Drosophila melanogaster: one gene and its partners. The protein of the gene in region 2 interacts with the protein of the main gene of each other region in a pairwise test. Each region holds a gene or a part of one and is shown on either strand. Other genes may lie near its edges. The genes, in order: CG11134, l(3)L1231, CG14062 and M1BP.

Region 1 (4,389 bases), on a different chromosome or scaffold from region 2:
CGTTGACCGCCTTGGCCTTGGCCTCGTTCTCCTTCAGTCCATCGATGATCTTTTGGAAAACGGCGTCCGACTGCAGAGACATGGTTGTTGTTGTTGTTGTTGTGGGGGTATTTCTGTGTGTATGCGGTTTTGTTTTTCCGGAAGAATAAAGAAAATATTCAGTGGGCTTGTGCGTCGTAGAAATAAAAGAAAAGTGCTTACGCTTTGAGAGCGGAACGCGAAGTAATGAGCAGAAGGCGTGCAATCGGCGATTTTATTGTCGCTTTTTTCACTACACTGCCCCTGTTGTGTGGGAGCGGGATGGTCGTATAGCAAGTTGCCGGTCGCGATATGTCGCCCTCACTCGCACCTGTTGCATTCGCATAAGCCTTGTTGTGCTGTTATTGTCGCGCTCCCTCTCTCTCTCGCTCTCTTCCAAATGTTAGCCAGCTGATGCACAGTGGGCATGAACTCAAAATAAAGTGGCTGCACGAAAACCTTTTGCATATCAGATATAGCTTTTATTTATATCGTTTATGCGATATTTCTTTCATTAAGCTGAATTGAAATTCTGATATTTGATGATATCAGAATGAAAAAGTAAATAACTGTATCGATATCATTTGGTTTTCACCGCTTGTTAGCCCACTGTTACAGGTGTGGAGTTTAGACTTTAACATTAACATGAAACGCCTAACATGAAGCCGTAACAGCGGTTATCAGCTGTTGTCCACGATTTAGTGCAAAGTGCGCACCCAGTTTGAAATGCCCATAAAACGGCGATAAGGCTTGAAGACTCTTCAGATTATTTCGACAAAATATGTCACCTAACGAGCCCATTGAGAAAATATTTTTAACCCCCCAAATGCCATATATCGTGATTCGATTCATAAAACGCAAGCATTATTCAGTACTATTATTTTGCATTGACCAATGGATTTCAGTTAGTAAATGCATCAATTTATAGGGTTAAACGACAAGTAGAATGTGCGTTCGTATCAGCTTCACTTCCTTATGAGCTCTCGAACTTTTCCGGATCGATTCCGGCCTTCTTCATTTCCACGGCAATGGAGAAGAGATAGTCATAGCATTCCGACCTGGTTGTAAAAAGAGAGATAAACGATTAGGTCTATAAAAGTGCTCGGTGTCTGAGAATAAGTGAGGCAACCCACATGGTTTTGGCCTTCTCCCAGTTCTGTCCCCAAACGTAGACGCCGTGTCGTCGAACCAGGATCGCACTGCAGCCCGGATACTCCATCATGGCGGCGTACATACTGTCGGCCAGGTCGCGTTCAAAGGGTGTGTTCTCGATGATCGGTACGACGAGCTCCTCGTCGTAGCGCAAATATCGCTTGTCCGCCTCATCGTAGACGCCCTTGATCATCTCCAAGTGGGTGCAGCGGAAGGTTTTCCCTGGCCACAGGAGCGTGGCCATTACGGCGTGCTGCGAATGGGTGTGGATGACGGCTCCCGCCTGCCGATGCTGATAGGCCAGCATAAAGAGCGGCGTACATTGGCTCTTCTTCAGGCCCTTGATCTCAGGCGGCAGTTGCAGATCCTTGCCGGTTATATCCTGCACGAAGAGATCCTCCGGCTGCATTCGCTCCTTCTGGACGCCCGACGGTGCTATGTAGATCTCATCGCTGAAACGGATTAACCGGCTTATATGGCTGTCTGGATAGATGTATAGTATCACTTGTACTCACTTGTACTTAATGCTCATGCCACCTCCTGTGCCGGTCACCCATCCCAAATGATAGAATTGCCTGCATAGCGAGGGAATCAAGTGGCGAGGATGCTCCGCCGGCAAGTCTTTGAAGATCGAGAGGGCCATCTCGCTGACAATGTGACTTTCGTGGGACGTAATCTTCGTCGCCGTGCGACACTGATAACGGGAGATAAAGGGATTCTGAAAGCGACAAATCACGAATGTAAACAATGCTGCCGTCGATAGACGATTGCAATCGGTGTATCGCTGTTAACACACAGCGTTGCCGTTACGATAAACATTGTCCAATTAGAAATGGTTTTTTGAAAATTGAATAATGTGCAATAGTTCATTAAGAGAACAAGATATTATTATCACCGTATTACCTCAAAAATGTTTCATAGCGCTGTTGAAAACGTTTTTTACAAGTATAAATATAATAAGCTTGCTACATTTGAACTTTTTTCAATTTTCTTGAGTAGTCCTATTCTGTAAGTCTTATTATAAACTTTTTTGTTTTTATGTGGCTCACCTTTGGAATTATATTGTTTATTAAACATCTTTTCAGGCCCTTCGTACAATGAAGTCCGAAATCGGCAAGGCGTCACACCGCCTCAACCTTTTCACTTCCGAGATCATGCACTTTATCCACCAAATGCAGTACTATGTGCTATTTGAGGTCATCGAGTGCAACTGGGTGGAGCTACAGAAGAAGATGCAGAAGGCTACTACGTTGGACGAAATCCTGGAAGCTCACGAGAAGTTTCTGCAAACGATTTTGGTGGGCTGTTTTGTCAGCAACAAAGCGAGTGTGGAGCATTCGCTGGAGGTGGTGTACGAGAACATTATCGAATTGGAGAAGTGGCAGTCGAGCTTTTACAAGGACTGCTTTAAGGAGCTAAATGCCCGCAAGGAACTGTCCAAAATTGTGGAGAAATCGGAAAAGAAGGGTGTCTACGGACTGACCAACAAGATGATCCTGCAGCGCGACCAGGAGGCGAAGATATTTGCCGAAAAGATGGACATCGCCTGCCGCGGCTTAGAAGTCATAGCAACCGATTACGAAAAGGCTGTCAGCACTTTCCTAATGTCTCTCAACTCTAGCGACGATCCGAATTTGCAGCTCTTTGGCACTCGGCTGGACTTCAACGAGTACTACAAGAAGAGGGACACCAATTTGAGCAAACCCCTGACCTTCGAGCACATGCGCATGAGCAATGTGTTCGCCGTGAACAGTCGCTTCGTGATATGTACGCCGTCCACTCAGGAATAGCGACCAATGTCCATGCAATCGGTTTATCCCAGTGTCCATACATCATACCAAATCCCAAATCCCATACAGCATCAGCACTCCATTCAGTTCAATTGCTGCTAAATATTTGAGATATCTCGATATCATTGGAGCCAATCCAACCAAACAAACTAATCCAATTATTAACTAAGCCTTCGAATCGAAAACAACCTCTATACATATATATCTCAAGCTTTGCCGTCAATCGCCTGGCTGCAAGCCATCAACTTAAGATATCTCCAATACAAAATTATTGAGTAGTTGTAACGAAAGTATTAAGCGACAATTTGTTTGTCGAAAAACGCAACGTTCTATTTTGTTTGCGAATCCCATAATTTTTTTTACATCGAAGCTTAGTTGAAATAGATTTTCGTAAGTGCATTTGCCAATTGCCATGTTGTAATTAAAGAGAATAAGAGAATGTTACGTACTTTAAAAGAATGTTTTAAAAAAGTTAATGTTTTGAACAGTTTTAAACCGTAATGCGAGCTCGAAATAAACGCAACTTGCATTGAAAGTTTCCGTCTCTATTTAATTATTATAAATTACAAAAATTTGGGTTATAAGAGTGTAATAGTTATTTATTCAATTATTGTAAATGCGTATAAAAAGAAAGCCGAAATATTCAGTTATTTATATTATTTCCTTCTCACTCTCACTCAAACTTTCTGATCTCAAAACGGTTTTGTAATCGAATGCGCAGCGAGTTATCGACAGTCCACGAAGCGGTTAACATTTCACCGCTAGCGAGTGCAGCCACCTACTATTCAGCGTAGCCAACCACCAACGTGCAGCAAACATCGATAGTATCGATTAAACACAAATTTGCGTACCACCTCTAGTTTGCGAGCGTATTAAAGTTAAAAAAAAAACGAAAACAAATCGGAAAAAGACGGAAGTGAGTGCTTTGTGCTGCCGCCGGTGATGTGCTGAAATCGCTTCGCCAAAATAGCCCAATTTCCCAATCGAGACACCGATTGCAAATCAAAGTAACGCCACGGAGTGCAGCAAAAAGAAAAACAAAAACAACAGCAACTGCAAACATGGCACTGAAAAAAGTGAAGGGTAACTTTTTCGAGCGTATGTTTGATAAAAACCTCACCGATTTGGTGCGCGGCATTAGGAACAACAAGGATAATGAGGTAAGCGTGCAGCCCCGCCTCCACCGCCCACCAAAACAGCTGTCCTCCAACTGCCACGCCCCCCCCAAGCGGCCCAGCTGTGCGTCCAATTAGAACTCGCTAATTGGCTGACAAATTTCGTTTGCATTAAGGGAATCTTATTAGAGTTTGGTGTGCTTGCATGTGTGCGTGTGTGTGTGTGTGGGTGAAAGTGGCTGTGTGTTTGTGTGTGTGAATGTTTTGGCATCTGCCAACAGTGCAAAAGGAAAAGCAGGAAAAGCTTGAAAAGA
Region 2 (5,403 bases):
TTTAATGCCATTCCAATTTAGCCATTCCAAGAATACTTAACCTAAACAATTGAGTGACTTTTCGATGGGAGTTTTAACTTTAAAGCGTGAAACATTTAAGATAAACAAATAAAATTTTATTGCAATACCAGCAAATGTCTATCCATTTTCTATATTTGGAATGGCTGTATTATACAAACGAGTGCTTTTGTGTTAATGGTTTTTCATGAAAAATGCGCAGCACATCAACTTCAATTTGCTCATATTCAACAATGAAATAAAAATCCAATTACAAATTGGACGAGTGGCTTAAAAAGAAATTGAAAAATATGTATTAAATTACAACTCTGCCTTATTACCATTTTTATTATTTTTTTTAAGCTAAAGGGTTTAAAGTGGAACGATATGTTCAAAACAAAGAATAATTTAAATATCCCCCTGAGTCATCGACAAGTTTAGATTCTTTAATTTTAAAACGACTTGACTGACTACTGATTGAATACTCGATGTGAAACGCACAAGCAATGGAATAATAGATCATGTTCATGTGTTTTCAAGGCGATTAGTCTGCTGCTACTCTAACATTAATGGAAAATTTTGAGGCACCTTTCGGCAGAATTAGCGAAGAACGAAGAAAACCCCCGGGGAAAACGCACGCCGTGGAACACGAAGGTTTTCGGCTTGTGATGGCCCAAGAAACCGTGCTCAAAGGTCTGCTGGTTAAACGAGCTGTGGATAGCTGCTACACACAGATACAGATGGATTGTTGCTTTGCTTGGACCAGGTAGCAAGCGACCAGGTAAACCGATAGGCTGGCAGAAAGCCGGTCGGTCGAGAGGTTAATTACGAGAGCAAAGCGTTTCCAGGCGTTACGCTCACTGGGCTACGGCGGCATAAAAACACCAGAACTGGAAAATATACGAGTACGACGACTACCAGTTGAATGGTTTTCAACATGCTGGTAGGAAAAACACTAGGCATTCATTTGCAAAACATTTGTAAGTGTCGGGGGCCCTAACACCCTTGTTTCTTCACATTTTAGTTGTATCTCAGAAATGTTGCTCAATATTTCAACAGCTAATTAGTCGGGCGTTTTACAATAATTCCGACAACTGTTAAAATAGCAGCGATAAAAAGCTTTTAAAATTAGTTTATAACCAGACATGAACTACATTTTATAACTGCTGTCATATTAGTACGTTTTATCAAGAACCAGAAACTGATATATTAATCAAATCTATGCCATCAAACTATCTGCATATAATGGTTCCTTTATTGTTAATATGAACATGATAAGATAGTGATTGTTCCTGGAGTAAATAAGCAATGTTTAAAAATAGTGATGATTGACTTGTGTTTCAGATTTACGATAAGGGTGAGAAATGATTCCCATATTTTCGGCGCGCTTTCATGATATTTGCAAACTCATCGACATTGACGCACAGCAGCAGAAATTGCATTTAAATGCACATTACATTGCCCGTAAGTGAGGAAAACGGGCAGAGGGAGAGAGAGAGGGAGATACTGAGTCCGAACCCGTTTGCTGCTTCCTTCATAACCGGAAACTGAAGGCTAAATTGTGCAAAGCAAGAAATGTGCAAAAAACGTAATATAATGACGACCGGGTGGGGGAAAGCAAGAAGGGCGGGGCTGGAAACCACCGCAAAGGCAGCTGGAGATGGATTTTTGATGCGGTGGGGAGGACGGTGCGGGATGCGGGGTAAAAGCCAAGAGCCAGACATGCGGTTCAGTTTATTCAGCCAGCCAGCGAAGCCAAACGAACTCCATCTGCAGCTCCACTTGGCCACTTTTGCATTGCACGTAGGCCCGTCCACATCCCACAGAGTGGGTCTCATGGCTCCAGAGCAGTGGTACAGTGGACACTGGCTGGAAGCAACCCGGGGAAGCCTTGGGAGTGCTGCCAACAATGTTGGCATAACTTATGGAGCATATATCTTGCTCGTTTTGTCTGCAAACAAACTTCCAAAATCGTGAGTCATACGAGATAATTATGGGCTTCACAGTCAAAGATTTTGCTTTGCATTTTTCTTTGCTTTTTCGCGGTCAAAAGACAATAAATATTAATGGGTTCCATAAAATGACTCACTGAATTATTCAAATAAATATTTATTTCAATTTGGAAATTTAATAACGCTGGTAGGAATATTTAAAGCTTTTGAAAGGTTTCCTAAATAAGCCGTTTGGTATTGTTTTCGAATGCAAAATAATATATTTTTATAATCCAAATTGATTGTGCATCCATATTAAATGGAAAGATAAACATGTATAATTTTTAAAAGACACTTAAGTTGTTTAAACAATTCATCCGCATGATAGATCCAATTAATGTGGTAATTTTCTTTACTTTTCCATTTTAACATGAAAGTAAATCTCCGATATAAAACACTTCCTTTGGCCTTAGCTGTTTTGTGATTTCTTGGTGCAATAAGTATTATTTTATAACAGTATCATAATTATAAGGCGAATTAAGTTAAAACAGAATTATTCACACAATAAAATATCCAAGGCTTACGATCACTATTTTGTTTTTTTATAAAAGTGTACGAAATTTTCGTTATTCGAGGTTTTATTATGTTGCTCTTTTTGTTGTTGTTGTAGGTAGTGAGCGGCAGCTGTTGTTGGTATGAAAAAAAAAACACACACATCTGTTCCGTTAAAACCAAGTTAACGATAATCTCGGTTTCTCACGGACTTTACTCAACTCTTGTGAAGAATTTCAGCAATATAAACACACACATGCACACGATAACTAAGAGCGGGCGGAGGGGGAGGTTCATCACCACACATATGTCGCCAATAAACAAATTTCCAAAACTAAACAAAACAAATAACCAATTCCGTGTAAACGAACTTTCAGTGGGGAGCGCGTCTTGAATTTCTTTTAGCTTTTTGTTTAGTTTTGTTTGTCATTCGCTTTGTGGTTTGTGGGTGTGCCGCCGCTGCGAGGGGTGGGATGGCAACTGTTGGGGAGTGGCGGGAAGGGCACTCGAGAATCGCTGTTGCCGGCGTTTTTATGATTTCTCTGTTTCCCCCATCCGTTTTTTTCTCTTTTTTTTTTGTTTCGACCAGCAGTCGCCCTCGCCCTTTTTTCTGCTTCTCTTTAGCGGCTCTTTCGCTTCCTTCCCCCACACAGCCCCCCACCAAACCCACACACTCACAGATACACTTGCGTTTAGAGTTGCACACGCAGGGTCTTTTGATTTTTAACTGTGCTTTGATTTTCAGCATTTAATCATTTTTAGCTTTAACAGCTTTTTCTGCTTTTCTTTGCTTTGGCGATTTTCGATGCAAAACAAGAATGCGTCACGGACCGCACACACTCACATAAAGGCTCACACACATACAACACACGCATACAGTGGGGCCGAAACCGAGAGCAACGAGAGCGAGAAAATTTACCCAACCGTCTGATGACGATTCAAACGTCAAAGTGGCGCCGCGCAACGTACTTCGTTTTTGTTGTTTGAGTACCCTTCCCACGGACAGGGTTGTCATGTTTTTGGGAATTAGTAAAGTGGCAGAATAATGCGGTTTTTTGGGAAATAAAAATTATAACAGCCCGCCAAATAATTATTTACAGCGATTCGCACTCAATTGATCACAAGTTAATGGGATTTACTGTTAAAAATCTATTTTATGCACATATAAATAGGAGGATCGGCAACCCTGGCCTGCCTCTCACACACACATACAGCACAGACCTGGGAATTTTTTGCTGCACAATTTTTTCTCCGCACCAACAATTCCACTTTCAAATGCAATTTTATCCCCCTTTGCTGAGCGCAGCGTACTCAAGACGATATCCTTTTTGTGGGAAAATGTGTACTGCAGCACTTTCTGGTGTGTTAAGTGGGCATAAAACGCGTTAAACGATTAAATTTGTAATTTTCGATGAAGTCGGGCTGACAAGATGGCGGACAATACAGGCGCGCGCACAGACACACACGCAGCCATTCGGGCGAACTAGGGATGTGACAAATTTATCTACATTTCAATATATCGATATTTTTGAAGAAAAATAAATATTTATTCACATGATCTATCGAATATCACTATTTTGCTGCTATTTATACAAACAAAATAAGCAAGTGCTAAATTTATGCTTCAGGATTGATAACCATTAAGTAACAACAGTTAATAATAATATTATACATTCAGCGAAGAACCAACCATATTATATTAATAAAACCAAACACACTGAACTGCTATTTTGGGACCCAGTGTCAAGGAGTGTCGTAAGCTACAGCCACCGCCACCTTTACGTTTTTTATACCCCTTACTCGTACAGTTAAAGGGTATACTATAGCCGAGTGCTTCCGAATGAATGTAGAGATATTAGGAACTATAAAGGCGAGAGAGTAAGGACTACCACGTCCACTTTAACGCTCACTAACCGCCCAAAACTCCCACTTTTGAACAATTTCTTTACATTTTATTTGTCTTGCTGATTAGTATCGGTACGCCAAAAATATGTAAATGTTCTAGTTCGCACTCCTATTAACGTAGTAGGTACGTATAGTAGGTAGTAGGAATCTGATAGTCGAGGAACTCGAATATAGCGTTCTAACTTGATTCTGATTGGTACGTGCGCGTTGCCATCTTGAAACTGGTTACCTTAGCCATAACGCGCAGTCTCCAATGGGCGGCCAATCAGAGCACCGGCGGTCTGATTGGTCGGCTCTGCAGTTTGATTTGTATCTCTACTGTGGTTTAGCTTTGGAACCACTATTGCGCAATATTTCTTGGCGGCAGGATAAAATGATCGGCCGCAAAAGGCCTCCCAGAGCCAGATGAACTATGTTGGAGTAGCCGCTGATGCTGTCGCATTCTACTGATAGAGATAGGCAGTTGTGGCGATGCTGTTAATGTGATGGATCCGGGTCCGGACAATGTCTGCTGCTGCTGAATTTGAAGTTGTGAGCCCATAGACTCCTCCTGGGGAGTGTGCGAATGATACCCGTGTGGGTTGCACTGAAAGATTTCTCTCGCGGCTGATACCCAGATGGATTCTCGAGTAAAGGCAAGCCAAAGATCATATACCCGACAAATACCATTAAATAACGACATAAAGAACAACAAAAGTAGGTTTAAAGAAGAGTCATAGAGGAAAAACCTCCGCGCCAAAATTCAATTCGCGCCGATATCACGTTATCGAACGCTGCACAGCTGGTCATACTAGCTGACCAAGGCAACTCTGCGATCTCGTCCACCTGGGCACACTAGTTGGCGGTCATCGTGTAGTCATTCAATTTCCGACTTCAAACATCCTTCATCAGCCTGCAAGCGAGTTCCGACAAATTTTCAACCCGGTCATGGTTAATTCACACCACAACTAAACGCCGAGATGCCGAACATATGAGAGGCTCGACTTAAGATGTTCGGCATTCGAATTTCTAACGTCTC
Region 3 (4,335 bases), about 14 Mb from region 2:
TGCAAATCATCGTAATACTTTCCCGGCGCAAAGCAAAGCGGAAGGAAATTGTGTAAAAGCGGCAAGAAGGCTATATGTGCTGCTGCCTTGTCTGTCTGCTGCTTTTGGCAGCCTTTTCGGCAGGCTACAAAGCAAATAATTGCCCCAGAAATTGGGGCCATGCAAACTGTAATGTAATGGAGCCGTTTCGCTTTGAACGTCGTCGCATGTGAAGCCCTAATGATGATATTTCCCGAAAAGAACTCTGAATCAAATAAAGCGCCTGTGTTCGGTTGGTGGAAAACAGTAAAATGAAGTGAAATACTTGGGAAGTGTTTGCCCAGGCGACCGCAGTCAATGGTGGAAAGCTTAAAGACTCTTGGCCCATAAAAGAGTTTAAGCTGCCGCCCAGCCGAGCATAAAGTGCACACCCCTCTCGCCAGGATTCAGTCCAGCCGCCAGCATCCTTGGTTTCCGCTTCCTGTGGTTTGGTCGAAAAATTTAATAAACGTCAAGCTGAGTGGCAAAGAAGAACGAGGGTCCAAACATTGCACCTGCCGCTGACCGCATTCAGGAATGTTAGTGAAAAGGTGGCACGCCGAAATGCATACTTGTATGGCCGTATACACCCGTACGTATACACGTATTGTCCACACGAAGTAGCGGCGGCAAGTATGCAATATAGCGTATACGCCCCGTGACACATTTGGGACAGCCAGCAGCCTTGATCCCAGTGATATCACGGAAACTTCATAAGTCCCTCGCACACGCCCAAGACCCATCTCTGATTTATGGTCTTTAACTTGGTTAACTTGCCATCGCTCATATGTCCTCGTGGTCTTATAATTGCACTTCTAAACATGAGCCATTTATAAATCTTAGACTTGCAAAACTTTTCCCATTTCCCCAATAATTTCGCGCAACATTAACGAGCTTATTAATCGTTGCCCTCTTATAGTCAGAAACATCAAGCACGTCGCTCGCTCGATTCAGTAGACAGGACTCTGATCCTGGGATGAAGGACGCGTGAAATTGTCACACACAACCACATTTATGTGGGGTTGGGGTCGAGGTCACGGAATTTTATTGGTTCCCCGGTTTGGGTGGATGCCTTTTTTGAATAGCGCGACACATTAACTTAATAATTTAGTGGGTGTCGAGTGGGCTGTTATAAATATTTATAAGAGCCGCCCTGAGTGGGCCGTCGATGGCAGGACTAGATCTGCTGCTAAGAGCTACTCCAAACTATCCCATCCGTGCGAAGATTCCCCTGGATTCTCAGGCTCAATTGCGCGTAAAAGTCAAATGTCTGTGCCCTTCGCCCAAAATGCTTTCTTGGCACTTGGCAGATTCCAATACACACATGCAAAGTTTGCACGTCCTGGCATACACACACGTATAGGTATCCCATATACATGGCTCCTCTAAGTCGACGTTATATATGCGCATGTATTAGTTTTGGCCGCCATTTCTGCATGCCATACAAACGGAAAAGCTTACAGTCGTTAAGGGATTTAGCAGGCAAATATAAATTTATGAAATATTCGCAAGGATGTGCGAGATGCCCGTCTATGGTGGCTACTGCTATTGCACCTTTCCGCAAACAAACCAAAAGATCACACCGTTTTGGCTTGGTTAGAGCTACAGCTATACCTCCAGCCATGCAGCCATATAGATGGGGCAACAAACACAATCTCAGCCGCAAAACGAGTTGTTCTTGCCCACTGGACGTAAAGCTGGACATGGACAAAATCAATGCTAAACCAAACCAAATCGAACCCAACCCAGCCAAACCGAACTAATGTTATTTGTGGAACAAACAACGATAATAAAATCATGGGGCGCTGGGTAAATGGAAAGTGATTCGGTTGGTTCTGGTCAGGTTGTGGCATCGGGCCAATAACTAATTTCATTTAATCTGCCAGGCACATTTGCAATCGGCAAATGGCAGCATATGCACACAAAAGTTGACAATATCCGCATGAGGCCCCCGCTTTTAAACATTACCTGGGGCCCCTGATCTGGAAGTAATTAAGCCAGCCAGGTGATAATGTAGGCCACTCTTTTTCACCTTTAATTCGTTATCCAGTTTAAGCAATAATGATGTAATAATATAATTAATTTTGGATCGCTCGTGCAAGTCGATGCAAACAATAAAATTCGACAATGAATTGCACGTATTTTTGAAACAGTTGTGCACACACTTCTCCGATTTCCGTACAATATAAATAGACCTGCAAGCGATTAACTGCCGAGTTGAATCTTTCGGATATGTTGCGAATTCTACTTCTGCTACTGGCATTCTGTGCCTTGGGTAATAAATAAAAATATATTCTCGGCTATTGCTGGATGTAAAGTTTATATTCTTAAGCACATGGACAGTGCCGATTCACCAGAGCTCAAGTGCAAGGGACCAATCGGATCTTTATGGTGCGTGGTCAGAACCGCCAGCTGTCCCTTAAGCGAACAGCCAGTTCGGCGGTTGGCGAAACCCTGCAGATGTGGTGCAATCCCCGGGACATAGTGGCCACCACCTGCCAGGCGGGAAGGGTTCCAGCCTTCCAGCCACCCTTGCCCATGACCTGCCGCGCTGCTCCGGCGGCCATCACCACACCGGTCCAAGATCGCAGATGTCCGGCCACCATGTACCGGGTGGGCTACAACGTGGGCAACAACCAGTTCCTGGAGCTCTATCGCGCCTGCTTCGATACCAGAGCTGTGAGGGCTATCTTCGTGGAACACCGGGTGTATGGAAAGCCCTTCTGTAAGTACATATACAAAAGTGTAAGTTAAATCTTAATTATAAAATGAATATCAAACTTACAAATACTCAGATATCACCCGACCCTGTGTCCAATTTAGTTCGGATGGAGTGATCAGTGGCGCGGATGAAGCTAGCTATACGGTCCGAAATATCCACGGCACCTTTAGGAGGCTGTTTGGCAACAATCAGAACTATATACCGAACAACCGCGATGTGATCATCAATCGCGGACATCTGGCCGCCTCGGCCGACTTCTTCTTTGGTGACCAATTGTGCGCCACCTTCAAGTATGTGAATGCAGTGCCGCAGTTCAAGAGCATCAACGATGGCAACTGGGAGACCATCGAGCGATTCGTTCGTAATTCGGTGACCGGAAACAACTTTGTGAATGTGCGCACCGGGGCCAGGGGCGTACTCTCGCTGCCATCGGGCAATAGACCCAAGAATGTCTTCCTAAGTGGCAACAGGAACCCGGTGCCCCAGTGGATGTACAAGATAGTGCGGAACGCCAACAACCAGCCCATCGTGGCCTTCCTCACCCTGAACAACATCTACGCACGTCAACGTCCAGCTGCTCCCAACTTTTGTCAGCCCGTGAATTGCCCAGTGGCATTGGTCAACACGGCACAGGCTGGCTTTTCGTTCTGTTGCAACCCCGCCACTTTCAGGCCCTAATTGGATGCCTTTCTCAATAAGAAAAACCTGTCAGCCTTACAAAAATGTGAGGTTTTTAATATAACAAAATTCAAACATGGTAATAATTTAAACAATAATTTAAACTGAAATTAAAAGTATATTATTTTGGCTTTAGATCGCAAATCAATTTTCATTTTCATAAATCGTAAATGCTTGCGTGGCAGTTTAAAACGCGTGCGAACACTTCGAATTCATGGCTCATTCGGAATGGACTCGAGACGTCAGTTTTAATGGTCATTCAGCGGCTTCTCATAAATTTATCCCCCCCGGGCCACCACACTGCCACTGCCACCCGCTTTTGGCCCATTTAAATTCAAGCTGCGATTGTGGCGGAGGGCAAACGCTTTTCAATGCGTGCGAGTGCAATAAAGGCAGGCGGCCATGGCAATTGCTTGGCCGGGGGTTGCGCCTAAAAGTAGACATTAAATAAATTATTCAGCAGGGCATGGCTGTTTGTGTCTGTGCTGCTTTTAAATACGCACGCCTGCGAAATTGTTTTGTGCGTGTTCTGCCGGAATGGAGCTGATGGATATCCTGGATGGATAATGGAGCCAAAGGGCCGGGGACACTGGGAGCTCATAAAAGTGCAGAATAAATTTAGCAACCCGGACATGCGTTCAACTGGGCTCTCATAAAACCTAACAGTTGTAATTGTGCTGTAAACACGCAACTCAATGGCGTTGTGAATGGGCTGAGCACTTGCACCACCCAACATGCCGAGCACCCACATTCTGACCATCTCTATGCATCCATTCTGCACTGCGGCACAATTTAATTTATGCCCCGTTTTGTGGCCGGCTTGTTGATTTTGCTGCCCCTTTTACTTTTATTTCTATTTTTATTGACCATTACAATTCTACAACCGCACGATTTGAGTCACAAATTTTATATGGCAT
Region 4 (4,723 bases), 5.9 Mb from region 2:
GCCTTCTCCCCGGTATGCACGAGCATGTGGTTCTTAAGAATATAGGATGTTGTGAAGGCATTGTTACACTCCTTGCAGACAAAAGGTCGTTCGTTAGTGTGAGTCCGCTCGTGCTTCAACCGAGTGCTGTAGTCAGAAAAGCTGCGGGAACAGTGTCTGCACTTGAAGGGCTTTTCCCCGGTATGCTTGCGAATGTGACGCTTAAGTTCCGCCGGCGTGCAGAAGCGATCCTCACAGAATCTTAAATGAAGCGGATTAGTTAGGATCAATCTTAAGTAGAATTGCCACTTACTCGCACCCAAACTCCTTGACGCCGCGATGTCGCTTACAATGCAGTATGAATGATATTCGATCTTTTATGTGATTTCCGCACTCCTCACAAAAGAAGGTCCTATTGGAGTCGCGGGGATTTCGACGATTTCTCCTTTTTTTGGGATTCTCAGAGTCTGATTTGAGTTCCTGCTTTGCATCTACTTCAGTATCGCTTTCGTAAATAAGGTAATCCATTTCACTATAATCAATATCGTCCTCATTATTGGGCTCGTCTTCGTTGATTTTAGATTCATTTAGAATGTCCTCCACTTTAAAACCGGAGCTTTGAATGGGCCCTTCATTGAGATCGTCTAATCGCTCGACTTCTATGCTTATTTCTGCCAGATCCAGTTCCAACTCCTCCTGCTCAAGGACACTTTTGGGAGATTCCTGGCAGATTCTAAGGAAGTCTTCATCATCTTGGGAATGGAGCAACTCCCTTTGGACTTCCAAACAGCGTTCCCTAAAGGATATGGCTTGTTGCAAACAAGTTTGGCAGGACGCACATAGTCGATTTGGCAACGTACTACAGTTCTTTAACTGTAAAGAGAAAAAACTTTAGAAAGTTAAAGACACTACGCATTATTATCCTCTCACCACAGCTCCAGTTAGTAGTTTGATGTGTTCCAGCGTAGTTTGATTGCGCTTTTCAAAAATATTCAATGATCTTTCAGCATTCGTGCGCTTGCCGCAAGTGCGACACACTTTTCCTTCCATTTTTGAGCCGATAAAAAAGTTTGAAACGCCAAACTTTTTGTAAACAATGCTATGCTTGTCAATCAGCTGTTCCGTTTGCCATTCGCATGGAAGCAATTTTTACAGATGAAATAAATGCTCATAAGTTGGGATTTGAAGTTTTGATTTATTATTCAATATTAAGTTCTACATATTACAATTGGTTTGTTAATTATTTGCAGAAATGCTCCTTGGCTGTGCGCCATTGTCGGTCTAGCATTGCCTGTAATTGCTATGTATATATTATAAGGACAGCTTTAGATGTGCAGGCTGTCCTCCTCCTCCTCCTTGAGTTCACGTTTCTGCTCCTGCTCCAGGACCTGTTTCATCTCGGCTTTCTCCAGATGCCGCTTGTGTACGCCAGACCGGAAGTGGGTGCTCAGGTGGGTGGGCAGCATAAAGGACTTGTCGCACAGCTCGCACCTTGAGGGGAAGATTCAGTATTAGATGGCATTTCAAACATTTCAGTAACTGTACCAGTATCACTAGTTTCATATTATTATAAGAAATTATTATAAGATAACTAAATATTACTCACGAAATTTGGCAACATAAGTAATATTTAGTTATCTTAACTCTCATAAGGTTTTGGAAAACTCTTGTAATGCCGCATAATATGATCTTAGAATTTCTAAGAAACCTAGTTATTGGGTTTCCCGGTACTGTGTAGCTGTATGACTCAACGTACCTGTAGGCCCGCTCGCCGGAATGTATCAGCATATGGTTCTTAAGGATGTAGCCGGTAGTGAAGGCCTTGCCGCAAGTACCACAGACGTAGGGGCGCTCATTGGTGTGGGTACGCTCATGCTTCACGCGCGTGGTGTAGTCTGTGAAGCAGCGGCCACAGTACTTACATGCAAACGGTCGCTCTCCGGTGTGCTTGCGCATGTGGCGTTTCAGCTCGGAAGTTGTGCAGAAGCGCGACTGACAGAGTCTGAAAATAAATCCATTTAGTCATACTGTATCCAAAAAGGAGTAGAAATGTACTCACTCGCAGCCAAATTGCTTGTCCCCACGATGGCGACGACAGTGAAGTTCAAAGGCCATGCGTCCCTTGATGTGATTGCCGCACTGCTCGCAGATGTATACTCCGCCGGTGCCACGACGACGCGCATCATCCGACCGGACCTTTGGCTTTGGCGGCAGACTACACTTCTTGACGACAATGTTTTCATGCTCGTACTCATCATCCAGCACGTTGTCAAGAACGGCCACCTCATCATCCGAATCGTAGACGTACGCGTCGTTGACGTCGCCCACAATTAGCTCGGTGTCTTCGTCCAGCTCCAACGTTTGCTGCTGCTCTTCGTCTTCGGCCATTATGGAATCATAGTCGGCCTCTTCAATCAAGGAGGCTGCGTCGTCCTCGCCGGCGTGTCCCTCGGCCACCTCGTAGTAGGTATTATCGTACTCTACCTTGGTGTCGTCGATCTCTTCCTTAGGTTCTTCCAATACGATTTCCTGATAAGTGGCATAGACCTCATCATCGTCGGGCGTCTTCACCGTCTGGACAATATCCTCGCCCATGACAGCCGCCCGGTAGAAGGCCGAGATGCCTTGGCGTTGCTCCTCGGTCAATCCCAAGAGTAGCTCACGCTGGGCGGCGATGCAGCGCTCCCTCAGCTTAACGGCGGAGGCCAGTTCCATGCTGCAGCATTCACATATCTGATCCGGCAGGCAACCGTAGTTCTCCAGCTAGATTAAACACCAATAAATTAAGCTATAACTACATAAATTCCATAAAGCCGCAGTGAAAAATTTACCCGAAGGCCTGTGAGCGCCTCAATGTTGTCGATCATCTTTGTGTTGCTCCGCTCGAATAACTTCGGCGACCGCTTGTTGCTTGCATACTTTGCGCATACGCGGCAGGTGCTCTTTAGGTGTTTCAGCGCCGATTTCGACATTTTTCATTCGCAATCCGAAATGAAATCGTTTTTAAGATATTTGTGAACACAAAAAATAAACGCGTCGCTTGTCAACTGCATTTGCCATTCACCCGGTGTTTCGTGTTAATATTTGCCATTCGCCCCGAAATAAACATATTTTCAGTGGCGTAGGCAAAGGGGTTCATATGATGCCAAAATATATATATATCCTCGAAAATGAATTACTTTGTTAACGTTAGTATTATATATTGCTTTGATATTTAACGGATTTGCATATTTATTATACTCCAATAATATCACATATAAATTTGAATTAATTTGTTTTATAATTTTAAATTTATAAAATTATAAATAAAATCTTTTATTTAAATCTTTAAATTAAATCTTTTTTATAAATTAATTTCTATAGAGCTGCAAGCGAAACGAAATATATACAGTAGAACAGGTTCTAAGCTAAAGTCCCTGGAATTAGTACAGTTTCTTTGGTGTATTTCATCCCTGACCGGCTACGTCCATGTCATGTTGGCAAGCAGCTGTCAGGAATGCCGACAACAACAACCACGACGCTATGGCGAACTTGGAATGGTAATTTATTTATTTTCCCCCGAAAATAAACAAATAAGCATTGATAACCATTTCTCCTGACTGCAGGGTGTGCGTGCCGCGATGCTACGAGGTCCGGAAGAATTGCCTGACTGGGCAGGCCACGCTGGAGCATCCCCTAAAGCAGCGGACGGTGACGGTGGGTAAATGGTACAACGCCCTTATCTGTAAGTGATTTTAATGAAAGAACAATCTCCACCAGGTGGTGGACAGCAATCCCTTGAGCCGAGCTCTAGAGGGCACAGATCCGCTCTCGCAGTTTGCACGCCAAGATGATGAGCTCAACGATCCGCTCAGTCAAATGGTCAGCGAATTCGTAAGTAGAGTGGTGCACCGGCAAGGAACATGACTAAGTTTTTCGCACTTGGATGTTCAGGATCTCAAGTCGAAGCGTCGTGAACGGGACCGAACGGAGCCCGAGGACAACACACTGCAGTGGAGCAGCCGACGACTAGGCATCCTCAACCGCTTTACAACCAATGAGAAGCTATCGCTGTCTACCAGCTTTCTGGTGTCATCTGGTAGCCTGGATGGCGGCAACGAAAGCAGTAAGTTCAGTGGTCGGTTGATCTGTGATATATATTAACAACAATCATAGTTAAAGCACAAACGGTGGTGGCCGACAAGACAAAGTTTCGCTTGGAGCAGTTAGACCACTTCGACGATGGCAGCATGCGTCACATGATGGATCTTACTCAGCAGGAGTACATTCAGCGGTTTGAGCAACTCAAGCAGGAGCTGATCCAGTCCTGGCACAACGATCAGCGAGTAAAAGCGTTGAAGATAGCCATACAGTGTGCCAAAATGCTAGCGGACACCACTGTGCTGCAATTCTATCCGAGTCAGTACGTTCTTATCACTGATATACTGGATGTTTTTGGAAAATTGGTATACGAACGACTGCGTGCTAAGGCCTCTGGAGATCCTGCCGCATCGGCGGCCACATTAGAGCGGGAACGGGAAGCTGCCCGGGATACGTGCCAGAATTGGTTTTATAAGATCGCCTCGATTCGTGAGTTACTGCCGCGTTTTTACTTGGAGCTGTCAATATTCAAGTGCTACGAGTTCCTGTCATCATCGCGCGAGGAGTATGAGCGCATTTTGCAACGTTTGACCCATCAACTGAGGGGTATAGCTGATCCTTTGGTATCGAGCTATGCCCGCTGCTACTTGGTGCGCATGGGCGT

The links.
Region 1: the proteins of l(3)L1231 (region 2) and CG11134 interact in a two-hybrid assay, tested with the Drosophila melanogaster proteins (one large-scale study listed by BioGRID).
Region 3: the proteins of l(3)L1231 (region 2) and CG14062 interact in a two-hybrid assay, tested with the Drosophila melanogaster proteins (one large-scale study listed by BioGRID).
Region 4: the proteins of l(3)L1231 (region 2) and M1BP interact in a two-hybrid assay, tested with the Drosophila melanogaster proteins (one large-scale study listed by BioGRID).

The regions. Positions count from the first base shown.
Region 1 is NC_004354.4:13,735,673-13,740,061, reverse strand, and holds CG11134 (uncharacterized protein), read right to left. Parts: upstream 2,121-4,389; 5' UTR 2,074-2,120; intron 1,924-2,073; exon of another isoform or gene 1,889-1,923; 5' UTR 1,814-1,888; coding exon 1,686-1,813; intron 1,623-1,685; coding exon 1,152-1,622; intron 1,077-1,151; coding exon 992-1,076; 3' UTR 885-991; downstream 1-884. Other genes in the region: CG11151 (uncharacterized protein), read right to left, coding at 1-82; Grip91 (Gamma-tubulin ring protein 91), read left to right, coding at 2,256-2,960; g (garnet), read left to right, coding at 4,022-4,120. UniProt on the Drosophila melanogaster protein: Catalyzes the dehydration of methylthioribulose-1-phosphate (MTRu-1-P) into 2,3-diketo-5-methylthiopentyl-1-phosphate (DK-MTP-1-P).
Region 2 is NT_033777.3:14,651,759-14,657,161, forward strand, and holds the start of l(3)L1231 (lethal (3) L1231), read right to left. Parts: upstream 3,440-5,403; 5' UTR 3,400-3,439; intron 1-3,399.
Region 3 is NT_033777.3:28,640,804-28,645,138, reverse strand, and holds CG14062 (uncharacterized protein), read left to right. Parts: upstream 1-2,247; 5' UTR 2,248-2,250; coding exon 2,251-2,293; intron 2,294-2,350; coding exon 2,351-2,743; intron 2,744-2,813; coding exon 2,814-3,418; 3' UTR 3,419-3,554; downstream 3,555-4,335.
Region 4 is NT_033777.3:8,728,632-8,733,354, forward strand, and holds M1BP (motif 1 binding protein), read right to left. Parts: upstream 3,068-4,723; 5' UTR 2,952-3,067; coding exon 2,811-2,951; intron 2,743-2,810; coding exon 2,039-2,742; intron 1,982-2,038; coding exon 1,736-1,981; intron 1,471-1,735; coding exon 1,305-1,470; 3' UTR 1,159-1,304; downstream 1-1,158. Other genes in the region: ranshi, read right to left, coding at 1-240, 293-852, 910-1,029; CG8202 (uncharacterized protein), read left to right, coding at 3,502-3,518, 3,585-3,675, 3,739-3,852, 3,913-4,084, 4,135-4,723.